Oryzias latipes: one gene and its partner. The protein of the gene in region 2 interacts with the protein of the main gene of each other region in a biochemical or structural test. Links are inferred from orthologs where the notes say so. Each region holds a gene or a part of one and is shown on either strand. Other genes may lie near its edges. The genes, in order: pak1 and bad.

What was found.
Region 1: of the proteins of bad (region 2) and pak1, one has a biochemical effect on the other in vitro, tested with the Homo sapiens proteins (3 studies listed by BioGRID). The link is inferred for Oryzias latipes from reciprocal best matches to the Homo sapiens genes BAD and PAK1.

What each region holds. Positions count from the first base shown.
Region 1 is NC_019871.2:4,548,933-4,556,886, reverse strand, and holds the end of pak1 (serine/threonine-protein kinase PAK 1), read right to left. Parts: intron 6,626-7,954; coding exon 6,508-6,625; intron 4,821-6,507; coding exon 4,721-4,820; intron 4,622-4,720; coding exon 4,425-4,621; intron 3,649-4,424; coding exon 3,511-3,648; intron 2,967-3,510; coding exon 2,880-2,966; 3' UTR 93-2,879; downstream 1-92. UniProt on the Homo sapiens protein: Protein kinase involved in intracellular signaling pathways downstream of integrins and receptor-type kinases that plays an important role in cytoskeleton dynamics, in cell adhesion, migration, proliferation, apoptosis, mitosis, and in vesicle-mediated transport processes.
Region 2 is NC_019876.2:12,863,856-12,873,387, reverse strand, and holds bad (bcl2-associated agonist of cell death), read right to left. Parts: upstream 5,516-9,532; 5' UTR 5,341-5,515; intron 5,013-5,340; 5' UTR 5,005-5,012; coding exon 4,857-5,004; intron 2,859-4,856; coding exon 2,644-2,858; intron 2,565-2,643; coding exon 2,433-2,564; 3' UTR 814-2,432; downstream 1-813. Other genes in the region: uncharacterized protein LOC101172196, read left to right, coding at 305-463, 535-714. UniProt on the Homo sapiens protein: Promotes cell death. Successfully competes for the binding to Bcl-X(L), Bcl-2 and Bcl-W, thereby affecting the level of heterodimerization of these proteins with BAX. Can reverse the death repressor activity of Bcl-X(L), but not that of Bcl-2.

The DNA of each region.
Region 1 (7,954 bases), on a different chromosome or scaffold from region 2:
AAAGTCCCACTACTATGAAAGTTGTGTTTTTAACACATTCTTATGGCATCTTTTTTGATTCGAGACACTTACACAGAAAATTAAGCTTGAAATTCTGCTTCACAGTATTTCTTTATTTAAATCGTTGTGAATCAAAAAAAGATGAAAAAAGATTGTTTGCAGAAAATAAGCTGAGCGGGCCTCAAACTGCCTGCTCTGAGCTCTCAGCAACAGTGATGGGAAGTGGGGGCGGAGTTGCTTCACAGCAACTACCCATCGGGGAATTTTTTAATGAACTCCAGCCGCTCTGCAGAAACTTTGTCCTAGAAAATGACACAGTTTTTTAAAATTTAGGCTCAAAACAGCATAATCCTAATCAAAAGGACACTGGGGACACTTTGAAATTAGATCCAAAGATGATCGGAGTGGGACTTTAAAATCAAATCAAATCAAATAAAATATTGCAGTGTATCACAACCATCAGACTGTTACAAAAGCAGTATTGCACCTTTGACACAGTTTAAGGCCAGAGTCACATAGTCACTACAATAAACAACAACAAAATCTTTAACAAACCTTTAAAAGTAGAAATCAAAGTGACAGTTTTAGTCTTTGTTTTCCAGAAAAGAACAAAAAAAAAAGCTTTTTGACGACAACCAGAAGCGCAGTCCTTAAGGAAAAACTGGGAAAAGACGGATTTATTTTGTTCTTTAGCACAGAAAATAAACAGATTGTGTTCACGGGGCTCCAGGCCAAAAAAACCAACAACAACAACAACACAGTGCCTTCATCGTTTTCTCAAGTTTCTTCTGAAAATAGGATGAAGTTGTGTTTTCCCCCATCGTACACCAGTCTCTTTCATTTCCATTGTAGGGCTTTCATACTTGACTTTGCGTTTCCTCTTAAGCATACCGTATAAAAAGGTTTTCATGCACATTCTCGTCATCACAGCTTCTCAACGAGCCCACAGACTGTGACGTCCCAGAGCCGCAGATGGAGCCAGCTTGACAGTACCCCCCCCCTAAACCTCATTTTCCTCCTTCATTCAGATATTAACCTTTTTAATGCGGCGCCTGACAGGCAGGGCGCCCTGCACCTCGGCGAGCCCATTTCACATCACAGAGCTTTAAATAACACGACTTTTCATCCGGAGGATAAGTCGAGCTCAATCGCTTGACAGTTACATTATGAAAATGTTTGGAATTTGTTTCCATTTTCCAGAATAATTAAGGGAAACCAGATTAAAGTTCACATCATTCATATCTACCTCAAACAGATGAAGCTTCTCATTAAAGCAAAAGTGGGAAACTGAGCTGAGCCATTAAATGCTGAAACAAGCCCAAAACGAGGCCGGCCTTTTATTTAAAGCAGCACAAATGTGACGCAGAGCAGCCGGATAAATGCGTTTATCAGTGTTCACATGTCAGGCAGACAGGACGTCATCATCAGAGTGAGATGTGATCTCTCGGGGAGCGAAGGAAACTGCTCCTGGTCTGTCAGATCCTGTCAGTTTGGTTCTGTTTATCGCGGATCAATCAGGTGTCTGCCGCAGGAAAAAAACGCAAACGCAGCTTCACAATGAAAAACCTTTGAGGGACAGAAAGATCCACAGCGCAGGACTCTAACATAAAAGAAAAGGGGGAAATATCCTCTGCCTACCGCCTTTTTACCACGCCACAAACAAAGATATGGAATTAAAGACAAACTACATAAAAAATGACCAAAAGTTGATTTTTTTTTTTACTTTTCTTTAACCAAAACGCACAGAGAACAAAGCTGTTCAACTTTTTAATTTGATGATGTTATTAGTATCTGTTTCTATCAAAAGTCATAACACAAAACTACAAATAAAAACAAAAAGTACATTTATCGCGAAATACTAAAAAGGCTATTTTAATGGATCACTAAAAAAAAGCAAAAACAAATGCAGAACCTAACATATTGACCCCAATGAGCAAAAGTAACCTTAGATGATCGGAACTCATTACAATTCAATGCTGTTTCAGGTTTCTGCAAGGATATTCACAATTACTATTTCATATTTTTTAGGTATTGGCTGAATGCCGTAGGTGTTTTTAAGTCAATGTGTCACTGGAGGAATCATCTTATTACCTAAAATACTACACAAAAAGCTTTGTTTTTGGTTGAACTTACTGATATCCATTTGAATCATTTTATTTGTCTTTTTTTTTCTAGAAATCCTCTTAAAAACATTTAAAAATGACTTTAAATCAGCTTTTCACACTGACCTCCCAAAAGCCAGCATTTTTCCTGATCCAGAGGATTCTGAAGAGGATAAAGGCCTCAGCCTATAAAATTGAGCAAAACTGCCCTAAAAACCCCCATCTGCCCAAAAAAAACCCCATCCGCCCCCTCTGTGAGCAGCGCCGAGATTCTATGTCCAAACTCCATCCATCAGTGGCTCTGGGCGCAGCCGCGTTCAGACAAAACTAAACCTCTCCGGATATACACCTAAACCTACAGGAGGTGATGCTGCGGGCAGCAAGGGACCAACACGTGCGTTACCGTGACAACAGATAAAAGTACCTACAGCTTCACCGACTAAAAGCTCTCGCACACGCACACGTAAAGGCTGGCTGTGCTGGACCGGGACGCCGTTTCACTTCTTTGGGCTCCGTTGAGATGTTCTGTTCCACAGCGATCTGAAGTTCATCCTTCGTTCTCCCCAGGAGATGTGCAGGAGGGGGGGGGGTCAAGACTCAGGGGTCAAAGGTAAGAGTGGAGGAAAATAACAGTCGAAGCAACTTTACAAAAAACAAAGACGGAAGGCGTTTGAAGAACGTCATAATCCAGCCAGAAGCACATACAACGCCACCTTCCTGTGAACGACGCCGGACGCCAGGAGGAGGTGGGGGAGAAAAACAAAGCTAGCTAGCTAGCTAGCGGTTGTTCTTGGCTGCCTCCTTGGCTGCGAGAATCAGGGGGGTGAGGCTGGAAAGAGGCTTCGCCATCTTCAGAAACTGATGCTGTGAGAAGAACACCGGGAACCCAGGGAGGGCAAAGGTGGTGAAAGGAGTCGGGGCGCAAAGGATGAAAGGATGCAGGAAGGGGGGGAGAAAGAGAAGAGATAAAACAGCAGGTTGATCAAGGGTCTGTGAGATATGAAGCTAAAGAAATATTAAAATATATAAATGGTCAAATACTACAATAGGAAAATTGTAATTTAATTTATTATAATAAGTATATGTGCTGAATTTCAGGTAAATAAATTAGCTCATTAAAATTTTTAAACAGAAATTATTTGTCAAAATAGTTTCATGATCAACATTGATCTCTTGTGTAAGTGTGCTGGAATCCTCTATAACAATCTTAATGTTCTGCTTTCTTTTATTTTACTTCAAGTCTTTTTTTAAACATTTTCATTTATTAAAAGTGTAAAATGACCGATATGTTTTTCTTAAGGCCTTAAAATGGTGACAGTGGAGCGTATTTGACTAAACTTTGGTCCGTTTCATAACATTTCTGTTTGTTTCTGTACTGTGAAAAAGGATTTTCTTAGCGCGGGTTTACCTGCAGGAGCTCTTTAGCAGAGCCTCTCTTCTCCACGTCCATCTCCAGACATCGGTTTAAGAAGTCTCTGAATATCGTTGACAGCTTCTCTGGATTCTGCAGCTCTGGGGTCCCGTTGGTTGCAATAAGATAAAGCGCCTGCAAAACAGAAAAAAGGATATTTTCCTCCCTTAGAGAGCTGGACAGTGAAAAAGAGATCCAGAGAGGTGCTTTGGTGCCATCTAGTGGCAGTTTAAGAGGCAGAAATCCCACAAAAACTACCCTTAAGGTCACAGTGTTCTTCAGCATGTCCATCGTAACGAATAAAGCGTTTTTATTTTGAATTTCAAACTGCAAAAATGGCATATGCATATTGTTATATATGCATATATTATGTATACTTCTAATTTTGGCTAATGAATCACTTATTAGCTGTTTAGACGTTTTTGTTTTGAGGATTCTGGTCTGTACCAACCCCCTAAAGGAAGCGCTGATAGGCATAAAAATAGGATTTAGAATCATTTTTTTAGGACAAAAGTTATTAAATGCTTAAAAATAAAATAAACCAGATAACAAGTAACAATTTTCAATCAAAATATGTAAGAATAAAACAGTCAGATCCAGACATAAAGCCCTCAGTGCAGCTAAAAGCGAGTTAAACAAAACCTCACAACGATGCTGATTTACAAACTCCTAAACCAAAACCAGAAGAAAGTGTTGACTAACCTCAAATGGACTTACAGAAGATTAAAAATCTTTCTGGTTAACATAAATAAAAATCCTAAAAGTGAAAAAAGAAAACGTTTGAAGACTCTCCTTCATCCAGGATGGATCCATAGCAGAAAGAAAGATTTAAAAAGAATCCATCAGGATTTAGCTTTTTAGGTTGAAGACGAAAACCTTTTTGTTTAAAAAAAAAAATCAATCAAACTCACTCTAAGAGGATTCTCATTTAAGTATGGTGGCTCTCCTTCAACCATCTCGATGGCCATGATGCCCAAAGACCAAATGTCCACTTTGGGGCAGTACGCTTTGCGAGTCACGACCTCCGGAGCCATCCAGTATGGAGTCCCCACCATGGTGCTGCGCTTGCTCTGCTCCGGCGTGATCTGAGCGCAGAAGCCAAAGTCAGCTGGAAGAGGCGAAAGGAGAAGAATTAGTGAGTTCACCTTTTGGAGAACAAATCTGCTGTTTATTCTGGAACAGATCTAGAAACCAAAAGGCCACTGACTGAGTTTGACAGAGCCGTCCATGCCCAGCAGGATGTTGTCGCTCTTGATGTCCCGATGGATGACCTGGTTGGAGTGAAGGAACTCCAGGGCCTGAAGACACTGAACAGGAAGTAGAGTAACCCTCCTACCCATGAGGCACCAAAACAACAAACACTTTTGATAGTAAAGCCTTAGACACATGCACCCAAACAGGGTCGTTGACCCTTAAGCTATGTTCACACCGGGCATGTGATTCGCGTTCTTGAACACGTGTTTAGCATCTGGTGTTCACACTGGACGAGCAGGGGGGGGCTTCTTCTTTTCCTAATGCTTACCAGTGCATGTCCAAATGTGGAAAAGCTGCAAATCTGGTGAATTTTGCTCGAGGCCTTTTATTTCACAGCTCCATTCCGATATATATGAAACACTATGTGTGATAGAATTTCAACCAGACACAAACCACAATTATTGATTTCTCCTCCAGGTTGACATTTTTAGGAATTCAAGAGGATGTCCTCCATGCGTCACTACCAAATCCGAGTTCCTGATTGGTCAAAGTTCGACTTGGTTCAACTGTACTAAGATTGTGTGTTTTGTATGTAGAGGCCGAAAAACAGTCATAGAAACATGAATGGGAAAGTTTCAAACGCAGAAGCCCGAAATGCGCATAGACGCCCGTTTACATAGACTCTTTAATAGAAGTGGGCGCTTGAACGCACGTTGCTGAGGGTGGTGAGACCGTAGCTTCGCGGATGTTGTGCGTTTTGGGGGTTTTTCGGGGCCGTGGAGGGTCATAGACAGGAGTGGCTGCACCTCGAGAGATGTCGTGAAAATGGAACGTTCCATTGTCGTACGTGTGGTAAATTTATCGCAAATTATTTTCAAGGATAATGTAAGCGACATGCACTTATGATGCTGTCGTACAGCGCCCTTACGCCACACTCTTGTTGTTAGAAAAGTGCACTCCTAATTAACAGCGCGGAAATACTGCACGAGCGGGTGTGCACGTGATATGCAAGTGGCTGTAGGACCCTCGTGGAACGCCTACAAAAACTTCGCTGTAATTACTAAATCGTAACTGTCAAACTGCATCACAAGGAGCGCATGCCCAACCACGTGAACAGCACCAACGGGCTTCCTGCTCAGTATGCAGGATTTGGGGGAGGGGGTTGAAAAAAATGTAAAAATCCATGCGGCAAGCCTGCGTCTCACCTACTTCATCCTTACGAGTTGTCTAAGTGTTCATTCTAACCTGCTGCCCACAGCGTGTCCATAACATGAACAGCATGTCATTTTGGCCCTACAGGTTCACTGAGTGCTCTACGACAGCCGGTATTCACCCCCAAGGGCAGTTGTGACTGAAGCTATGTCCCTGTTGCCCTCAGCAACGTGCTTTCAAGCGGCCACTTTAAAGGAAAAGTGCTTAAAATGCGCTCAATAGTCATGTTCATCTAAACAAAGACGACCTTTGACCAATCAGGGACTTGGATTTGGTAGTGGTTTGTGGCACGACGCCCCCTTTTAATTCCTGAAGTACCAATCATTGGAAAGTTGATCACGGAGGAGAAATTAATAATCGCGGTTTGTGTCCGGCCAGAATTATACAACACCAAGTCTTTTATAAAATGGAATAGAGCGGTTAAAGAAAAAGCCTGGAGCAAAATTCACCAGGTTTGCACAGCAGAAGCCCCTCCCAGCTTGTCCAGTGTGAACACTGTGGGCTAAATGTGAGTTCCTGAAGGCATGTGACTGTAGCTTAAGCCTTAAGGAGGTCCATCAAAATAAAGATGAGCTCCACTTGTCCTACCTCTCTGCACACAGCGGCTATCTGGGCTTCATCCATGCAGGTTTCTGTGACGACATCCGTCAGAGATCCTCCTGCCAGATACTCCATGACAACCCAGAGCTCATCACCCACCAGGTAACTAGAACCAACAACAGGAACATTTTTATCAGGATTTTCATCCTCATTTTTGATTAGACCTCCGAAGGAATAAACTTGGAAGTTGGCACAAGAGTAAAAAACAAAAACAAACTTTCTTTAAAATGCGTGAACATCAATGATGGTAAAACAGAAGGGGTTGAGGCGATGCTGTCAGTTCTACGCTGTAAATGTTTGCAAACTTCAGAAACAAACAACGTGGGCAAAAAGAACCAATATCAGAAATACTTGTACCCACAAAAATATTGATAATTGAAAAAACAACAACATACATACCAAGCAATTGCAATTAAAATAACACAAACATGAAACAAATGATTATAATTAAATGTAAAGAAGATGTAGATGTAACACTTACTATAGATGACATAACAGGGATACATAATTTATTCAACTTTGAATTGGATCGGCTTTTTTAACCGATCGTATACCGTTTTACAAATGTGCCCACATTCAAAGTAAATACAAATATGCAGTTAAGAGGAGTCATTTTTTAATGATGGATTTATGGGTGAAGATGCTACACAGAGCCTGTTTTTAAAAGATAAATGGCTAAATAAATAAATAACCTATGTCCTGAGCATGACAACAGCAGTCACTTTCATCTACATCCTATAAAGTCTGTTGCCTTACGGCCACTATTTTCCACGTATGAAATTTCGGTATGCCGTGATACGTGCGTGATAAACGTCATGTTAGGTGTTAGTCCCTCATCAAGGACTGCAGATGTCCGTCGAGGTCTCAAGTCTCTACGTCATTTTTGGCCGGTTGAGAATTAAATCGTTTGTGCGCAATTATAACGTATATCGTACACAATTGTGCATGATATTTGTGAGATGCATACACAAGTTTGTGGCTTTCCACAACCGTTCCACGTATGTCTAATGGACTTTTCAGGCATGTACCACGAGGAATAAAGCGCACGTCATGTTCAAATTACGTAGATTACAGACTAATGACTTATAAAGTGCATATAAACAGCGCCTTATACCATGGTCCGGGTGAATACTGGATTCTGGATTGGCTGTTGGGTGTGCATTAAAAAGTAATAATGCAAAGTGATAACCGCACGCCTATAAAAGAGGTTCTGGTCACATAGTGTGATCATCAGCATAGATATCGCTTTCCCATGCCCCTAGACTCGAGGTCCGCTCCCGCACCACGTAACAAATAGTCCGCTTTTTGTGAAAAAAGTGATCCAAACCAAAAAAAATAAGAAAAAGTCCTACAAAGTGGTTGAATATTTATCTATTTTGTGAGTGACCATGGTAAAAGCAGGTTAATGGCCTTCGTAGTGTGCATTATCATCATT
Region 2 (9,532 bases):
TGCAGAAACTAGGTCCCAGAAAACGACAGGTTTTTGACTAAAAACTGTCATCGTAATTGAAAGACCACTGGGAACGCTTTTAGAATAGATCAAAAGATGATCAGAGTGAGTCTTTAGGACATCATTGTGCTGACCATCCCAAAAAAAAAAAAGTGCGAACAAATAAAGAAGCTGGGATGCAAAAAAAAACGCACATGGATTTAAAATTCTCTCATGGTTTGTAACTAATGCTGCAGTCACTCTAAACGGTGCTGTAGTCACAGGAGACCATGTGATGTGAGAAGCGTCTGTTTGTCCCTTCCAGGTGGAGTTTCATCCACGGCTGTGCCAGGCCGGGCTGAGGAGTGTGTGTGAGGAGTCCCGAGTGTGTTTCCAGTCGTACTCCTCGCTGGGGAAAGGAGAGCTGCTGGCCGACCCGCTGGTCATCGAAGTGGCGGAGAGCTGCAAGCGTACGCCTGCACAGGTATGGCCCGTCTCTACCCATTCACCGCACATTTATTCAGGCACGGTAACGTTTGTACGCCTCTCCTGCAGGTTCTCCTACGCTGGGCTGTTCAGCAGGGAGTCCCGGTGCTCCCAAAATCCTCCAATCCTGAACGAATCGAGGAGAATTGCAGGATTTTTGACTTTGAGTTGAGTAAAGCGGACATGGAGAGGCTGTCGTCTTTGGACTGTGGACACAAGTACTGCTGGGATCCCTCAGAAGTGGCCTGACACGTTTATTTGTGGACTTTGTTACCGTAAACTTTTAAAGGGAAAGTTGTTTTTCATCAACATTTTTTAATAAATGTAAAAAAAAAAACTCATAAGAACCACTGTTAAAATCATTTATTAAAGACAGCAGAGGCTGGACAGCTGTAGAGAAAATACATAAAAAAAAAACAAAAATTATTCCAAAAAACAAACCACTTAATGTATTAAAATTGCATTTCTTCCCTTCTTAGACACACTCAAAAATTCAAGTAATACTAAGGATGGTTTCGGAAACTCCAGGCGCCCGCCAGCGCAGGTTCGGGCTTCGCCGCCCGCTAGAGAGCCGATCAAAAGTGTTTCCCTCGCCGTTGTGGCAGTGAACGCACCTCTGAGAGTTTGTGCTTTCCCGCTTCAGTGTCCCTATAAAGATTTAAGGCTGTGAAGTTCAAAAAGGCGCTTCATCTGACGCGACATTTCACCTCCCGAGAATAAACGCTTCACCCGAGAGCCACGAATAATCTCTACCAGCTCATGTGTACAAATATTTTCCTTTTAAGGAGGTGATTAGGAAATATTCGTAAAACAGAGAATAAACGTAGAAAAAACGTAGTGGCATTGAACACATCACAACAGCTGGGAACATTTTTAGAAAAATGCAGCACCGTTTTAGATTGTCTGGAGTTTATTTAGGGGAAAAAAGAAAAAAGCTCTACAAAGAGCTAACCCGAGTGATGGAACGTTGGCAAAGATGTCTGCGACCTTCCCGACTTTGAGGAAGACGGCGAGCAGAATAAACGAGAAACCGTTTTTAAAAGGTTTAAAGATCTCGGTTTCCTCAGAAAAACACACAAACGTCAAATCCAGCTGCAGCGATTGGATAAAAACTAGCCTTTTTGTTTGTTTACGGACTAAAAGATAACCTTCACATCCTAAAGCAGAGATCTGGGCATTGAAACCCTGTCCTTTATGGACCAAAAGTAGTTTGCTCCTCTTAAATAAGCCCTTCCTCTGGACCGGAGAGTTAACAGCAGTATAGTCGTCCTTCCTCACTCATCACAACAGCCGTGGATTGTACACAGCCTATTGCAGGGTTAGCCACGCCCACCGAACCTCTGATAATCTATTTAAAGCCCCTCCAGGCCCTTCCTGTCCTTTCATAAAAATATTCACAAAGTATTTACACTCGATGTTCTCGGATTTGTGCCTTTGATCGCAGGTTTGATGCGTCGATGTAACCCTGAAGATTTACCCAGAAAGCACTTGTGCATCGCTGAAGATTGTCCCACTGCGAGATTGTTCGGACGAGCCCAAATCGAGCACTTTGACCCTTTCCGTCTTCGCCATACGGAGATAAAAGACGCCCCCGTTCATCCGCAGGAGGAGGAGTTTTCACTTCTATCTCCTCTGACGGCCGGATGTCGGCGCCTTTTTTTTCTCCGCCTGCAGTAGATTGCTTATATTTGATGATAATTTCATTGTATACGCTGATGTGTCAAATGTCTAAATTCTCAGTCAAGTGGGCTTTTTTTTTTTTTAAAAAACATCACAGTCAAATACAAAGAAAGACAAAAATGTTTTAAAAGAAATGAGCGAGTTCAAAGATGGAGACCCGTTCAGCCCGGTCTTAGTGTTCCCATTCCTCTCGTATTTGAGTGGGTCGACCCCTCCTCTTGTGTAGATGCCCCCGTGGTTTCTGTCCTCCTCCGAGTCCTTCATCACAACAGTCTTCCTCTCCATCCTTACTCAGTGCGGTGGCTCTCGTGGTGGCTGTACTCTCCTTCCGCCTCCGGGTGGCTGAAGAGGTAGTTCCACCAGCTCGTGGAGTGGAGCATCTGTTTGGCCGCCCCAGTGCTCCTCACCTTCCTCATCTCCTGCACAAGGCAGATGTCACGTTCAAATCCGGGAAGCGACTCTCGTCTGCCGCCCCGCCCCCTCGCCACCCGCTCTTACCCCTTTATCCAGCAGGCTGTCAAACTCGTCGCTCATCCGTCGGAGCTGCTGACCGTACTTTTTGGCGGCCCACAGAGCCGGAGGGGCCGACTTGGATCTGCCCCTGAAGGCCAACCCATCAGTGGGGGTTCCGGCCTCGTCTTCCCGCGCGAGGTCCTCATCTCTGGAGTACGTGGAAGCGGTGGACTCTGAATTCAGCCTGGTACGCCCGTTACCTTTATGACAGGTAAGGACAAAATGTTAACGAACGTTGAAAAAGTACGGGTAACCTGGGAGACCTGAAGACAGAGGAAACACCCCTTCAAGGGTTCTGCTGTGTCTGAATTGCCACTTATGAGGGGAATCTACAATCCCAAAATGCATTGGGAGTTAGGCAGCAGTGAGGGAATTCGGCCTCATTTTCCCCTTTTTATGTTGCCTGTTAGTTTATAAAAAATGTAAAAAATAAAGTTTTGGTCAAATATAATGATGCTGCGCCATGAAACGTACGAGCTAAAAACATAAGGAAAATAACAATCAGACAAATAGTATCTGATGCCACGTTTGCCACGTCCCGTGAGGCTCCACTGATTCGTGCGCAAACACAGACAACCCGGTTCTGTTCCATTTTAAATCATTTCAAAAACTGTTAAATAGTGACTTTTTCTGCAGTTACTAGTCACTTTGTTGATTGTAGGCTACAGCTGCAGATGCTGACGGCTCCATCCTCAGAAGACTCCAACCAGAGGCCGTTGAACCCTTTAACGCCGCTGCTTTAGCTCTTTCGACGACCGTAATTCATTAAGCAGTCGCACAATTGACGTCACTTCAGCTGTTTCCGATGCATAGAAAAGCAGCCGTGCGAAACTTTACAGTAGTGAGCTGCTGATCGGTGCAAAGCTGCCTTTTTCTGCGTCAGAATCCGCAGTTTGAGCTGAATCGTGTGGACAGTCCAGAGAGTCTCACTGTCGACAGTTTCCATGCAGCAGCAGCTTCCAAAACAAAACAAGTCAAACTCTTTCTACTCAACTTGAGATTTAACGTTTTTGGGGTCGTGATCCCACTCTGTTACGCGGCTCATCTATCGCTGTCTCACTGTTTCGTGGATCTTTGTAGTGCAATTCAGTATGTGTATTGTTTTATACAGCACACTGCGTTCTGATTGGCTGTAGACCTTGTGGATCTCATTTGTGCCACAGTTACATCTTTGTTTTCATTCTATAATATTGGACTTATTTTCTACGAAGGCTTGAGATTTGAGAGTTAAAAAAAAGAGAGAAAAGTCTGGATATGAAAAGAATCAAACTTTATCGATATTTAGAATGTAACTCCATGATAAACAAGAAAACACTGTACTGACTGCACACAATCTCTGATTGTGTTCACATTTAGGTGAGACAGTGATTACCTTACCACTAGGAAAAGTTTTGTTCCCTTTTTGTTCTTCCAGCAGGTATTAGTTTCTCCTTCAGCGTCTATTTCTTTTTGTGTCATCTAAATGGCACTACAATTTAAACTGCATATTTATATTTCATAAATATAAAAAAAACAACAACAACGCTTTATTAAAGACAATGTTTATCCTTGAGAAAATTATCCATCCCCTATCAATGACAGCTTTTTCTATATGGGGTCCTAACAAAAACTGAAGTACAAGCCATTCACTGTATAGTGAGGAAATACCGTCCATCCAGCTCCAATGAAACAAAGTCAATGTCGTCGCCAAAATGTTGGCAATGCGTGGGACAATGTTAGTAAACTCTGATTGGTCTGAGTCAAAGTTTCTATGGAAACCACTCACCAATCAGGAGAGAGCTTGTTAAAGGTCTACAGCCCTATCATTTGGGAGAATCAGTCAGTGAAATGTTTGACATGAAACCACATGCTTTTATTGAGGCATCTGAAGGCTCAGATTATAACTGAAATAATTTGCACTATAGAAAAAAATATAATTATTAAAAAAAAGGATCATATAGAGTCAGCAATAGTTGATTATTTCGCAATAGAAGTCTATAAGACTTTGTCTTCTTGGAGCCAGCAGGGATTTCCTGTTTGGAACGTGAGGTGGGAGGGGTCGCTCAGTCCAGTTCTTGCATACAGTGACCCTATAAAACAGCTAACCGCTCCACCTCAGGATCCCAAAAAATCCGAATCCTGCTGCCTTAAGACTGGAATTTTCTCAAACAACTCTTAAAAGTGCTTCTCATTTCCCATAATGCTTTTGGTCTGCTTACTTGTGAGTCGAAGCTCTGGCAGGGTGAGGGAATGTCGATCATGAAGGTGCTCCCCTTCTCCTCCTGCTGCCGCTCCCAGGTCAAGTTTTCCTCCCTCTACCTCCTCGGATGACTCCGAATCGTCTGAGATGGTGAACTTTGCTGCCATCGTAACATCTGCAGAAAAAAAGGTGTTTTGAGGACACGTTGTTCCAATAATTCACTACCAGAGAAGCTTGATGATCATTTTAAACGAAGACCATCACAAATCAAATACTATTTTTCTTTCACATTTGAAGCCGAAATGAAATAGAAATTGAGCTAGGCCCAACTTTCCACTCCTAGAGTCATAAAATGTCTATTAGCTAAATGAATTATGTGTCTACCTGTAACACACCCAGCTGCCTATCAGTGGTTGAGTCCAAAGGTATTAAAAAAATAACAACTCCACGAGATAAGGACACAACTTTGACAGCACGCGCTTCGTTAAGATGTTATAACGTACTTTGTTTTTCGTAGTTCAACGCGCTCGCGAGCTGTGCTCTTCGTCGACACACTGCCTCGTTTGTTTTGTGTTGTTGTTGACCGAAGAGCAAGAGGACAAAAGAAACTTCATACAGGGCGGAAGCGGTCCCCTCCACCTTCCGCGCAGCTAAAGAGAACCTCCTGGAAGTAGTTTTTCTCACCCGAAATCTCTGCGGCGTCCGCTCCGGAGGTGGGAAAGAGTCTCCGAAGTTAGCTTCGAGCGGCAGAAACTGCTTGTTGTTAATGTTTTGGTGTTCTCTGCCCGCGGCACATTACACCCCTGCTCCGCTTTCGCCCAATCGCCGCGCGCCCCTGCACTTTCGCAGCGCGCTGACGTCACTGTTGCGAGCTAGGACTTGTTTGTCTGGTCTGGTTACCGTAATGACCAGAGAAGAAGCGCAGAACCAAAAAGCTCCTCATTTTCACCCCTCCCCCTTTTTTTCTGCCAAAACTCACGACGTCACAAGTTGAGTGCTGGCACTACTCGAGTCGCAGATTCTGTCTTCGGAGAGGAATAAAACAGGGGTGTACTGTCTCTGTATACCTGTTTCTTCTGGTTGCACACGTTTTCTGCAGATAAATAAAATTGAGAATATTGATGGGATTTCTATTGCTGGTAAAAACATTCTTGTAAGTCAACTGGCAGATGAATCATTATTCTTAAACTCCTCACAGGTTTCTTCAAGTTATAGAAACATTTTCAAAAGCATCAGGACCTATCTAAACCTAAAGAAATGTGAGTTATTTCCTCTTAAACAATGTGCTCTAACATCCATAAATAGTATAGTAGTCAAAGAAAAAGTCACATATTTGGGATTGCAGATAACTAAAGAACAAAAACAAAGAGAACTGAATAACTATAATCCTATGATTGCAAAAGCACAAAATAAGTTTAATCGCTGGCTACAAAAAGGTCACGTCCTCTTAGCAAAAGCAGAAGGAATTTCCAGACTAGTCTACATTGTTTCCTCACTATCTCTGGACAGTTGTTTCACTTTCGGCTTGTCCCATCAGGGGTCGCCACAGCGAATCAGCCACTTCACAGTGGAAGATTCGCATGGTAGTCTTGGCAATGTTTTACGCCGGATGCCCTTCCTGACGCAACCCTCTCAAAGCAACCGGGCTTGGGACAGGTACAGAAGTAGAGAAGGGAAGAGGGTAAAAATGCAAAAAGGATTGATCAGATACTTTTTAACTTCCTTTGGAGAAATAGAATCCACTATGTACGATAATCAGTAGTAATTAATTCATCAAAAGACGGAGGACTTGACTTTCTTAACTTTTCCATTCTAAGTAATGTCATCAAAATGAAATGGTTAAAAAAACTTCTTAAAAAGTGAAACCTCATTTTAGAATTTCATATAAAAATACATATTTGATAAGCTTGGAGGTCTGCCATTTATTTTATTATGTAATTTAATAATGGAAAAAAATCCTTTAAAACTGTCTAATTTTCATAAGCAGGTTTTATTGGCATAGACTTTGATCTACAAACATAATTTTTCTACTCAGCGCTACTATATTTGGAACAATGCAGATATTCTATACAAAAACAAGAGTATTTGTCTTGAAAATTAGTTTGAAAAGAACATTTCTCTTGTGACACAGCTGATTAATCCACAAGGTAACCTGATGTCATACATTGAGTTTCTGTCCACCAATAGTCTGCATGTTTCACCTGCAGAGTTTGCATTGGTTACTGGAGCCATTCCAGGGGGTGTTAGACTTCTGTGTAGCAGTTCTCCTTCAAATACTCCATTTTCTCCTCCCAAATTAACAGAATTGTGGTGTTTTTCAGCTGGCAGGAATAATCAAAGTATCCGTTCTCTGTTTTAAAATGAGATTGCGACAAAACCGCATGTTATCTCATACTGGAATAGGTTTGGCTGTAGAATGCAGTGGGAAAAGTTTTCCATGCCCCAAAATGTTATCACCAATGAAATTAAAGAAATTTCTTTTAAAATTCTTCATAAATTTTATCCAGTGAAACATTTCTTTACTAAATTTAGAAAAGATCGGGACATAAACTGTTCATTTTGTCATTTCTCACCAGAAACTGTGCCTCATCTTTTTTGGTATTGCTCCTTCACTCAAGTATTTTGGAAAGATTTGATACATTTTATAAGAACTCATCTATGTGAAGATTATAGATTATTCTATGAGCATATTATTTTTGGATATTTTACACAAGGGGGATTAAATGCAGAGAAAATATATGTAGTCAATTTACTTATACTAAATATTTTATACACATGTGTAAATATGCTAACAAAACCCAGTATTTTATGTTTTCCAGAAAGAAATGGTACTGTATGTAAACAGAATCAAATCCTCCACTAACAAAAAAGCTGTTAGAACAGTTGAAACATAGTGCCTTTGAAACTTTAACAGATTCCTTTGCCTTTATTATTTTTTTTTATTTTTACTTAACCTGTTTCACATTGTTATTATTATGGTTTTTTGAATTTTTGTTCATTTTCCTGGCAAACGTGAAAATTGTTTTTTGAACACAGTGTGGAGTTTTGTATTTGGTATATTGTATGTGCAATATTTGTTAATAATTTTTTTTTTTTTTTAAAACTCACGTCACTTTGGCTAGCACTGAACCCTCATAAAACCATTAACTTAAAATTAACTACCGGTATGTAATAAAAACGTAATTACAACGACATACTTTTCATTTCTTCATGTAGAACAGAAAATAAGCTAAATACATTTTTACCCAACTTTCTGCGAATTTCATATTAAAAGACTATGAAACATTCTGTACCAGCTAGCTTGACATAGTTAGCATGACTCATGAATCTTGTAGTGCATCTAGATATTGAACTCCTTGAAAACAACCAGTTCTGGGCATATAAGGTAGACACGGATATTTATATATATTAAATATACATATTTAATTTACAGTTGACATTTTAGAAATGAGCTAGAAAGTGTCACAAAAGGGTCCCACAGATTTTTAATTGCTTTTGACATAATTTAGCCCATAAAATTTAGAAAATCGTACTCACCGTTTTTAGAAAGTGTTGCAAGACGCAAATAATTGACAAGAGCCTGTGGGCGGCGGAAATTTTAACAGAGGCCACATTTGGCCTATGGGCCAGACTTTGGACATGCCTGGTTTAGACACATTAGCAGAAACAAGTAAACTGTTTTTTTTAATTTAATATATTTTTTTCTATTGACATTATAACACAATGAAACAAACAATCTCTTACAGAGGATATTACCCTTGTACGGGTTGGACAAAAGTTAGAACAATTTGAAACTAGAGGTCAATAAACAAACAAAGTTCTTAGTACTAAGACTTGTGCGGCACACAAACTTAAGAAGATCTCTGAAGACAAATGAACCAGAGTTTTTTCCATTATCAAATTCTTGAGATGTTTGTAAACCTGTAAGACCTGTTTCTTCTCCCAGCGATAAGATTGTTTGATGAAAACTGGTATTGTGCAGTCCAAGATACCAACCACCTGAATGAGACCATGTGACCATGCAGAACAAGGGGAGTAAAACTTGTTGTCCACCTTTCGGCATATCCCATCAGGGCTTCCACAGCGAATCAGCTTTCCATGATTCGCATTGGCAGAGATTTTTTCGCTAGATGACCTTTCTGACACAACCCTACATTTTCATCGGGCTGGGGACCGGCAGAGGGAGACCCAGACTTGGGCCCCCTTGTTGCTACATAGACAGTAGTGCGAAAGGTCTTGCCCAAGGACTGAATGGTAAAACATTTTAATGAAAACACTTCTCTGGACTCTTTTCTCAAAAATGAAATGAGACGTATGCAACAACAGACGTGTTTAAAAAAAGTTACTGCAGCCCAAGCACCTTAAAGTCCCACTCCGGTCTTCTTCTGATCTATTGTAAAAGCGTTTCCAGTGTTTTATTTCCCATTATGATGATGCTGTTTTTACCCCAAAACAAAAAATACTTTGTCGTTTTCTTGGACATAGTTTATCCAGGGCGGCAGTAGTTGATTAGAAATGTATATTTTGATTGTGGTTGTGCCAACATTCCCAACCACAACCAGAGAGCTCTCACAACCCGTTGCTGAGAGCTCTCTGTTTACGTCAGGGGTCAGGGGACTCGCTGCCCTCGGGCTATTTGCGGCCTCCAAGATGATATTTTGCGACCCCCGCCTTAATATGAAAGTTTAATGTGAG